2 linked regions of the Callithrix jacchus genome follow. The protein of the gene in region 1 purifies or fractionates together with the protein of each later gene. This does not show direct contact. Links are inferred from orthologs where the notes say so. Each region holds a gene or a part of one and is shown on either strand. Other genes may lie near its edges.

The links. The genes of interacting proteins can lie anywhere in the genome.
Region 2: the proteins of CYLD (region 1) and SPATA2L purify together in Homo sapiens (affinity purification with mass spectrometry; 3 studies listed by BioGRID and IntAct, with this or other methods). This does not show direct contact. The link is inferred for Callithrix jacchus from reciprocal best matches to the Homo sapiens genes CYLD and SPATA2L.

The regions. Positions count from the first base shown.
Region 1 is NC_133521.1:8,668,281-8,672,332, reverse strand, and holds the start of CYLD (ubiquitin carboxyl-terminal hydrolase CYLD), read right to left. Parts: upstream 2,858-4,052; 5' UTR 2,704-2,857; exon of another isoform or gene 2,260-2,703; intron 2,161-2,259; 5' UTR 2,101-2,160; exon of another isoform or gene 2,082-2,100; intron 1-2,081. UniProt on the Homo sapiens protein: Deubiquitinase that specifically cleaves 'Lys-63'- and linear 'Met-1'-linked polyubiquitin chains and is involved in NF-kappa-B activation and TNF-alpha-induced necroptosis.
Region 2 is NC_133521.1:47,332,044-47,336,401, forward strand, and holds the start of SPATA2L (spermatogenesis-associated protein 2-like protein), read right to left. Parts: upstream 2,836-4,358; 5' UTR 2,748-2,835; exon of another isoform or gene 2,377-2,747; 5' UTR 2,376-2,376; coding exon 2,073-2,375; exon of another isoform or gene 2,011-2,072; intron 1,659-2,010; exon of another isoform or gene 1,574-1,658; intron 203-1,573; coding exon 1-202.

The DNA of each region.
Region 1 (4,052 bases):
AAGAGCAGTTCAGGGTCACATCGATTTGAAAACAGCTCTGCTTATTTGAGCTTGCTGCGAGTCTGGATTCTGAGTAAAGGGGAACTTAATCATATTAAGATAAAGTCATTAAACCACGATGTGGGTTGGAAGGCACAAATATTTATCAATTTTCCATGAAAGCAATGGAATGATCATGAAATAAGTTTTACATGAAAACATTAACGATTACAATTACCACATTCTGAAAGGCAACATATAGTACAAATGAACATCAGTAGCTACAGAAAACTGACAATGGTTAACTTATCCAGAAGATACAGTGTGTTTATGATTCTCAAGTTATCAGGTTATATTGTTCACAAGGATCTCACAAAGATAGATCCAATGCAAGAGCTTTTCCGTCTCAAATTAGAATAAAAATCACAATACTTGACTCTGTCCCTAATTATAAATGGCAAAAAGGTAGGAAGGTCAGCGTGACCACCAAGGAAAGAAGACATGTGGGCCTTTTTCCAAAAGCTTCTAGATAGCTAGAATGATTGCCCTTTTAAAAAAGAACACCTCTCACTAAAAGACAAAGTTGTTATATTCCTAAACAGCTAAAGAATAGGGATACAGAGATTCCATGGCCAGAAAAGAGACTGAGTCAGTTTTAGTTTTCCTCAATGACTAACTTGTGCTACAAGTACACAGTCCCTAATATAAGTGGGATTTATACAGTTAAAAGAAAAAGAAGAAAAAAAAAAAGCCTGGCTCCCACATCTGCATGTTCCCACCAGAACCAGGAATATTGCTGTCTCTCTAACGTTAAACATAGCCACTCTCCTGCCAAACTGTGAATTCCCCAAGTCCTTCATTTTTATATTATCCAGTGCCCACACTAGAGCCTGGCATATGCTAGGCACTGAATACAGAAAAATGAATGAAGGACTCAAATGGTAACAGTGAAAACAAAATTGCATTTCCTCCTTCTGTTTAAGGGATTAAACAAAGAGAAAGAGAAAATAAAAAGACTCAGGAATTGGGAGTATTTAATGATTTTTGCCTAAAACTTCACTAATTTTCTGGATAAAATGAAGTCATGGTAAACCACTTCATTTTTATACACATAAGAAACAAATATGGAAAATTTCACAATTATGAAACCAAGTTGTTTTGAGGTTTATTTGACACTAGACCTTCATTAGCGTGTATGATGCTTATAAATGCTCTACAACCAATGTAAAAAAATTTTTAAAAACTAAGATCATAGTGTGAAAATCAGGAACAAAATACTATAGTTTGATAAAGAGCATAATTACTCCTTTCTCCTTGTGTTGAAGACTTCCTTAAATCAAACAAAACCACAGTTTACGTGGGCCAGACTACAAAAATCATTGATGCTTAATGTTTGTTGTTGTTTTACATAACAAGCCTTATCTGCTTCTCACAAAAATTACCATCCAAAGGAAGATTTATTTGCAAGAGTACTGTAAAATTTTGCAGCAGAATATTAGAGAATGTTCTGGGTGTTCTCGACGTTCAGAGTACATGAACTTCAATAAGAATTTCCAGCAAATCATTTCTCCTAATACTGATCTAGTTCAAATCTACCCACTGCTCTGTGGGGAATGGGAGGCTAAATTCTTAAGGCCATTCAATCTACTTGGGGCATGAGGGGGTGTGTAGAAAGTCAACAATGAACACCCTCTCAAGGCTTGGGTGCCTCTCTGAGAGCCAATGATTGCAAAATGAACAATATTATTAAGATCCCTAATTAGCCCGAATTCAAAGGCTAGGTAGGTATGCTCCTTAGCTGAGCTAAGGATACAACTTTCCAGGAAAAACTGGGGAGAGGACGGTGGTAGGGATGATGGGGGCTGGAAGATTGCAGGGCCACAGGCTTGGTGGCTGGAAGATGACAACTATCCTAAAACATGTAAATGCCAAGGAGTGGAAGAAAAATTATGCCAAGTACATGAATAACCCGGCAGCTGACCCAGCTGAGAACCAAACTCAACAACATCTTCCTCAAGATTTTATGACTTCCTTCCCCAAGCCCACCCGCCTCCCCACCCCACTTATCGTTAACATAAAAGAAAAACATAAAGAAAGAATACCTGTCACAACAAGGCGCACCTTTCAACAAAGAACTCCGGGGGGCTGTGTAGAACCATCCTCACCCTGGAAAGGGCGAAACTGAAAGAAAAAGCAGAACACGCCATTAACGAGGCCAGAACCCCGACCGAGATTCCTGGACGGGAGCCACCAACACCCCCAAAACCGATCGGTGCTTACGCCCCGCGGCGTGGACCGGAGGAATCACAGCCCCAGGCTCCCAAGGCCAACCGTGGCCGTCGGGACCCGCCAGCGGCCTGTGCCTCAGTCTCCCCATCTGTAAATGGGGTGGGGGCGAGGAGGGGAGGCTGCGTCCCGCGCGGCTCCCGCCTCAAGTCCTCTCTCCTCCTGGGGTCCCGACGGCGGCAACCACGCACGCTCCCCGGACTCGGAGCCCTCCCGGGAAGCCTCGGGGGGTGAGGAAGTCCCGGGGGTGGAGAAGCCCGGGCTGACGTCAGCGGGCTCGGCACCCCGCGGGCCTGGCCGGCTCGGGCCCCGGCAACTAACGGGCCGGCGCCTAGGGCCCGACGGTCGCCGCGGCGGCTCCGGGAGCCCCGAGGCCGGGCGGTGGTGCAGAAGGGATCGGGCCGCCAGCCGCCCGCAGCCCGCCGCCCGCTCACTCACTCGCCTCCGGCGACGGGGCGTCGCCCCTCGCCCAGGCTCCCAAGCCCGGGTCCCGGGCCAGCCCCGGCCCCACACCCACCGCCCTAGTATTTACCTCCGACGCTCGGCCCCCGCGCAGCCGAACCTGCTACCTGGGCCCGCCCCCACCTGCCCCGCCTCCGAATCTCCCAGGGGAGAGGGAGGGCGCGGGGGCGGAGGGGGCAGCCGCCGCGCTAGCCAATCACAGGCCGAACTGCGCCCTTGAGCGGGCTCTGATTGGGTCTCCTTGTGACAGACCTTCCTCCAATGGCTGCCAGCCCGGCGCCGACCGAAGGGACTTTCCGCTCGGTCAAGCTCGGTGGAGCCAAAGGGAAAGCGGAGGGGCGGGGCGGAGAAGAGTGGGGATGGAGGCGGTGAGCTCGAGCTGATTGGGCCAAAGGGTGGGGGGTGCCGCGTCACCATTGGCTGATGCCGGAACTGGGGCGGGGCGCTGCGCTGCTCCCAGCTCCGCCTCCCGTGCGCCTGCCTCAGCTGTCAAAACTGTAGAAGCTAAGCTTTGGACTGGGTTGGGAGTCCAGACGAAGATTGGGAATAGGATTCCAGGATGCCGCGAGAGAGCAAAGCTTTAGAATCAGACCTCAGTTTGAATCTTTGGCTCTTTCATTCAGTGGCCGCGTGACCTAGGGAAGTCACAACCACGCTGAGCCTCAATGTCCTCATCTGTAAAATGGAGACCATAGTATCAGTTGTCTTACGGGATTGTGGCAAAATATCGAGTTAAAGTTCCTGGCACTCAGTAGCAGCTCAGGAAAGGTTCATCTCTTCCTCCCCCGCAGAGTCAGCCTGGGACGCTTGCTGTTTCTGAACCTCTATTGCCACCTATCCCAGTTTGAAGGGAATTCTCCCAAGGATGGTGAAGAAGGGATTTCCACACGCCACCTCACTCAGCCCGCACCCCTGGCCACCAGCCAGGACTTAGGGTGTAGTTAAGGATCTTTCAATTAGAAGGGAGGCTTCTGAGTCCCAAAAGTACTCAAAATATTTAAGGAAGTGCTCTTTATAATCAGTCCCAGAGCCTTGCTGCACTGGATACTTCTGTTAATTAATTTCTTCTCCTTTGACATTTTAAGTGCTAATTATAGGAGAAGGTGATTAACACTGAGAAGGGAGGAGGTGTGTGTGTGTGTGTGTGTGTGTGTATGTGTGTGTTTTTAATCATGACACAAATTTCCCCCAGTGGAAAGGGACATGTTTCTGGAGATCCAGGGAATTTAAACCAATGAATACATAAAAGCAGTCACATGAGTGATGACTAACAGTAGCAGTAGACAGGCCACCCCTCTTCCTTGCCATAGTCATCCAAAGTGAAA
Region 2 (4,358 bases), about 39 Mb from region 1:
GCACCTCACCCAGGATCTCACATTCCAGCCGGAGGGCGAAGCAGCCCAGGGCCACCTGCACCAGCTGGCAGGCAGGGGGCAGAGCAGTCACCATGAGCCGGTGGCTGTCCCTGCGCACGTAGCCCATCTTCTGGAAGCTCTTGAGGAGGAGGTCATCTGACAGCACACCCTTCAGCACGTGCACGTAGCCCCCGGAGAAGGTCTGCAAGAGAGCGACCTGGTCAGCGGACCCCGGAGCACAGCGGGTCCAGGATCATCGGCTCAAGCGTTGGCAGCTTCTGATGCTTGGGCCCAACCCCAGAAACTAGGCTTAGCCAGTCTGGGCCAGGCCCGAACATCACAATTTCTTTTTTGTTGTTGTTTCTTTGAGACGCCATCGCTCTGTCATCCAGGATGGAGTGCAGTGGCTCGATCTCAGCTCGCTGTTGCCTGTGGCTCCCAGATTCAAGCAATTCCCCTGCCGCAGCCTCCCAAGTAGCTGGGACTACAGGCACCCACCACCACACCCAGCTATATATTCATACTTTTAGTACTAAGAGACAGGGTTTCACCCTATTGGCCAGGCTGGTCTCGAACTCCTGACCTCAAGTGATCTGCCTGCCTCGGCCTCCCAAAGTGCTGGGTTTACAGGTCTGAGCCACCGTGCCCAGCCTAGGATTTCTTAGATTTAATGGAAAAAACAACTAATACATTAACCTGCCTCATGAATCAGAACAAAACAAAGAGCCCCTGTACTGAGAAATGTCATTGTCTTCGTCCCCTGCCACTCTCTTTACCCCTGGAGATGGCTAGTCTAATTAGTTTTGGATGTGCCTGCCCAGGTGTTACTTTGCAAACACAAATATAGATTTTGGTTTGCCCCTCTTATGAGGGGCCCCACCCCTTTTCAAGGTCTCTACCCAAAACTAGAATAGGCAGCCTCTTAAACATGCTGTTCTGAACTTTTCTTCCCGTTACAGTCTTGCAGATGAGGATGGAAGCTCCACCCTTCATTTTCCCCTGCTGCCCTGCGGTGTAGTATTCCACCACCTGGAGGCAACGTGTTTCCAGAGCTCCAGAGGCTGTCCTTGCCCTGGGCTGACAGCCGTAACAATGGTGAGTGCTTTCTAGCCTACAGTTGGGCGAAGAACTAAAGGAGCAGGACAGTCACTGCCTCCTGAATGTAAAATTCCCTAACTCCATGAAAGGGGCACGGCCCACGTGCCTGCCGCACTGAGCTCAGGGCTTCCATTCATTCCTCGGGTCCATGAACTGGACTGTCTTGTGTCCCTGTTTCAGAGGAGGAAAGTGGCTGAGAGAGATGAGGTAACGGCCAAGGCCTCCCGGCCAGGAGGCAGCAGAACTAGGTCCAACCCAGGGGTGCTGGGCACTGAGGCCCGGCCCATTCTCTCGCCCTGCCTGGGAGGCCTCAAAGGCAGACCTGTCCTTCCCTCTCGTGAATGAGAGTTCAGCGGACCAGCAGGTGTCCCCGGGGAGCCGCGCAGAGATTGCCGCTGCCATGGCAACCGGTGGAGGCGTAGCTCGCCCACGTGTGCAGTGGCGTCATCCGCTTCCTACTCTTCCGAATTAGCTCAGAGCTCCGGGCGGCCCTGCCCCCTCCTGCCGCCAGGATCTCACCTGGAGGGGCCACACCGGCCCCAAGCCAAGGAGCTCACTAGGTCTGTGCCCAGCCCTGCACCTTTACAGGGATCCGCCCATCTGCAGTCCTCCCAGCCTCGGCGGCCGCCTCTGCAAATGGGAGTGGCCCATATCCTGGAGGAATGAGGATGACCGCGGGACCTCAAGTCCCTCCTGTGCCCCTGTCCCAAGATTCCCATGGTAGCTGGGGCCGCGAGGCCGCCTTAGGGAAGACACTGACACACGCTCTCGAGCAGGACAAGCCTGCCCTCGCCCACCCATGTTCTCAGCCCTCAGAGTGGGTGCCCCAGCACGCCCCCGACCCCTCGGCGCTCTGAGCCCTGAGACGCCCACCGGGCACTAAGGACGCTGAAAGCCCCTCTCTTCCGACAGGCGTGGTCTCCCTCGACCCGCAGGCCAGGACGAGGAACGCGCTTCCGCGGGCCGGCGCCTACCTTGATGGTGGTGAACTCCTTCCTCCAGGGCAGCAGGTACAGGTGCACAGCGGCCAGTTCCAGCAGCTCGAAGGCGCGGGCCAGGCCGCGCAGCGCGGGCGCCAGGTCGGCGCGGCCCCACAGCCCGTCGGTGAGCAGCGCCAGCGCGTCGTCCTGCAGCGCCCCGTGCAGGTCAAAGTCTTCCACCAGGATCTGCCAGAGCACCGCGCGCAGCGAGGGGTCCCCGCACACGCCCGCGCGTCCCCGTCGCAGCTCGCGCTCCAAGCACAGGCGGTAGTCCTCGGACAGCGAGCTGCTGCCCATCCTGCGGCGGGCGGGGGGTCAGGGACCTCAGGCCGCGCCCTGCTCTCTCCGAGCCCCCGCCCAGCGTCCCCAGGACCCCCCGAGCCTGGAGACCCCGCCCCCACCGGCTGAGCGCCCGAGTATCCTTGGCACCCCCTAATCTGGAGCCCCCGGCGCCATCTGCCCGCCCACCCGGCGATCCGGCCCTCTCCAGCTGAGCGCCCCCGCACCCCCAGCCCCTCCCCAGCCGGGGGAACCTCGGCCTTCCAGGGGCGCCCCGGTTACCGACCGCACCCTTCCCTACAGACGCGCTTCCGCCCGCTGAGCCCTCTCCAGACCAGAGCCCCCTCGCCTGGCAGATGGAGCTGCGGAACTCGCGGGAGATGGCGCTACCTGTCCGTCCACAGCGGTCGCCGGCAGCCACCGCTCAGTTCGGGTCTCCGCGTGCGCCGTGCGCTTCCGCCGGGAGTCGGCTCCGCCCGGGTCCGCGGCCTTGACGCCGGGGGCGGAGCTTGGCTTAGGCCCCGCCTTCAGCTAATTTAGGAGGGGCGGGGCCTGGTGAAAGCCGGAAGGAGGCGGTGTCCCGCCAGGCCGATCACCTGCGCGAGGCGCCCCGAGAGCCTCCTGTCACCGCGTCGCCCGTCGCCCGTCTCCCCACGGGACCCGTGTCTTTCACGACGCCCCAGGGCCGAGGGCTGCGGGCTCAGGGGAGGCGCTCAGTGAAGGTTGTGCCTGGGCCGCTTCTCCCTATGAGACAGGGACCCAGCCTCAGGCGTCCCGGCACAGGGAAGCAGGTGCGCGGGCTCGTCCCCCTCCGGGGCGGGGCCCCCTGCATTGCCTGCGGTGATTGGTTGGATCCTGGAACGAGCCGTTTCTGCGGGGCGGGGCCACCTGCATTACCTGTGGGGATTGGCCGGGCTCGGGGGCGGGCCTCTCCCGCGGGGCGGGGCTATTTGCTTGTGGGCGGTGCCCGTCGCGGAAGGTGGGCGCAAGGACAAGCCTTTTTCAGCCTCGCCTCAGGTCGGTGCCAGGACCTCGGGTCCTATTTCTGCCGCTTCCGCTTACCGGCTTCCCGCACTTGTCAGCCGCCGCTCCTGAGAGCAGCGTCTGGGCGGGTCTCTGAGGCAGGGCGAAACTGCCCCCTCTCTACACTAAAAGCTGACCTGGGCTGTGGATCCTTCCAGGCTAAATCTGGGCCACGACCTCCCGGGGGCGTTTTGTTCGCTCGGGTTCCTCCGTTCTGTGCTAAAGACATTTTCTCGCATTGCCTAGGAGAGGAGGATGAGGGAGACCCTTGGGGTCCCAGCCTCGACCCCCCCACCTATACTCCCGCTTTGGGCAGGCTCTGCTTCCCGTCTGTGCCCCTCACCTCTCCAGGCCACCAAAACCAAGGCCCAAGTTTGTTGAAACTTTCCCTGGGCCGCGACGTCTCGTCTCTGCTTTTTCTTAAATTAGTCTTAAAAATACTGTAATCGTGGCCGGGCATGGTGGCTCACACCTGTAATCCCAGCACTCTGGAAAGCCGAGGAGGGCGGATCACTTGAGGTCGGGAGTTTTGAGACAAGCCTGGCCAACATGGTGAAGCCCCGTATCTACTAAAAATACAAAAATTAGCCAGCCGTGGTGGCGCATGTCTGTAATCCCAGGTACTTGCATTGTAACAATCCCCACCTGTCAAGGGTGGGACCAGGTGGAAATAATTAAATCATGGGGACAGCTTCCTCCCTGCTGTTCTCATGACAGTGAGTTCCACCAGATCTGATGGCATGGCAGGAGAATCACTTGAACCCTGGAGGGGAAGGTGGGGCCTGCAGTGAGCCGACACTGCACTCTAGCGTGGGTGACTGAATATGGTTTGGGTCTGTGTCCTCTCCCAAAAATCTCATCTTTTTTTTTTTTTTTTTTTTGAGATGCAATTTCACTCGTTGCCCAGGCTGGAGTGCAGTGGCGCAATATCAGCTCACTGCAACCTCCACCTCTCAGGTTCAAGCAATTTTCCTGCCT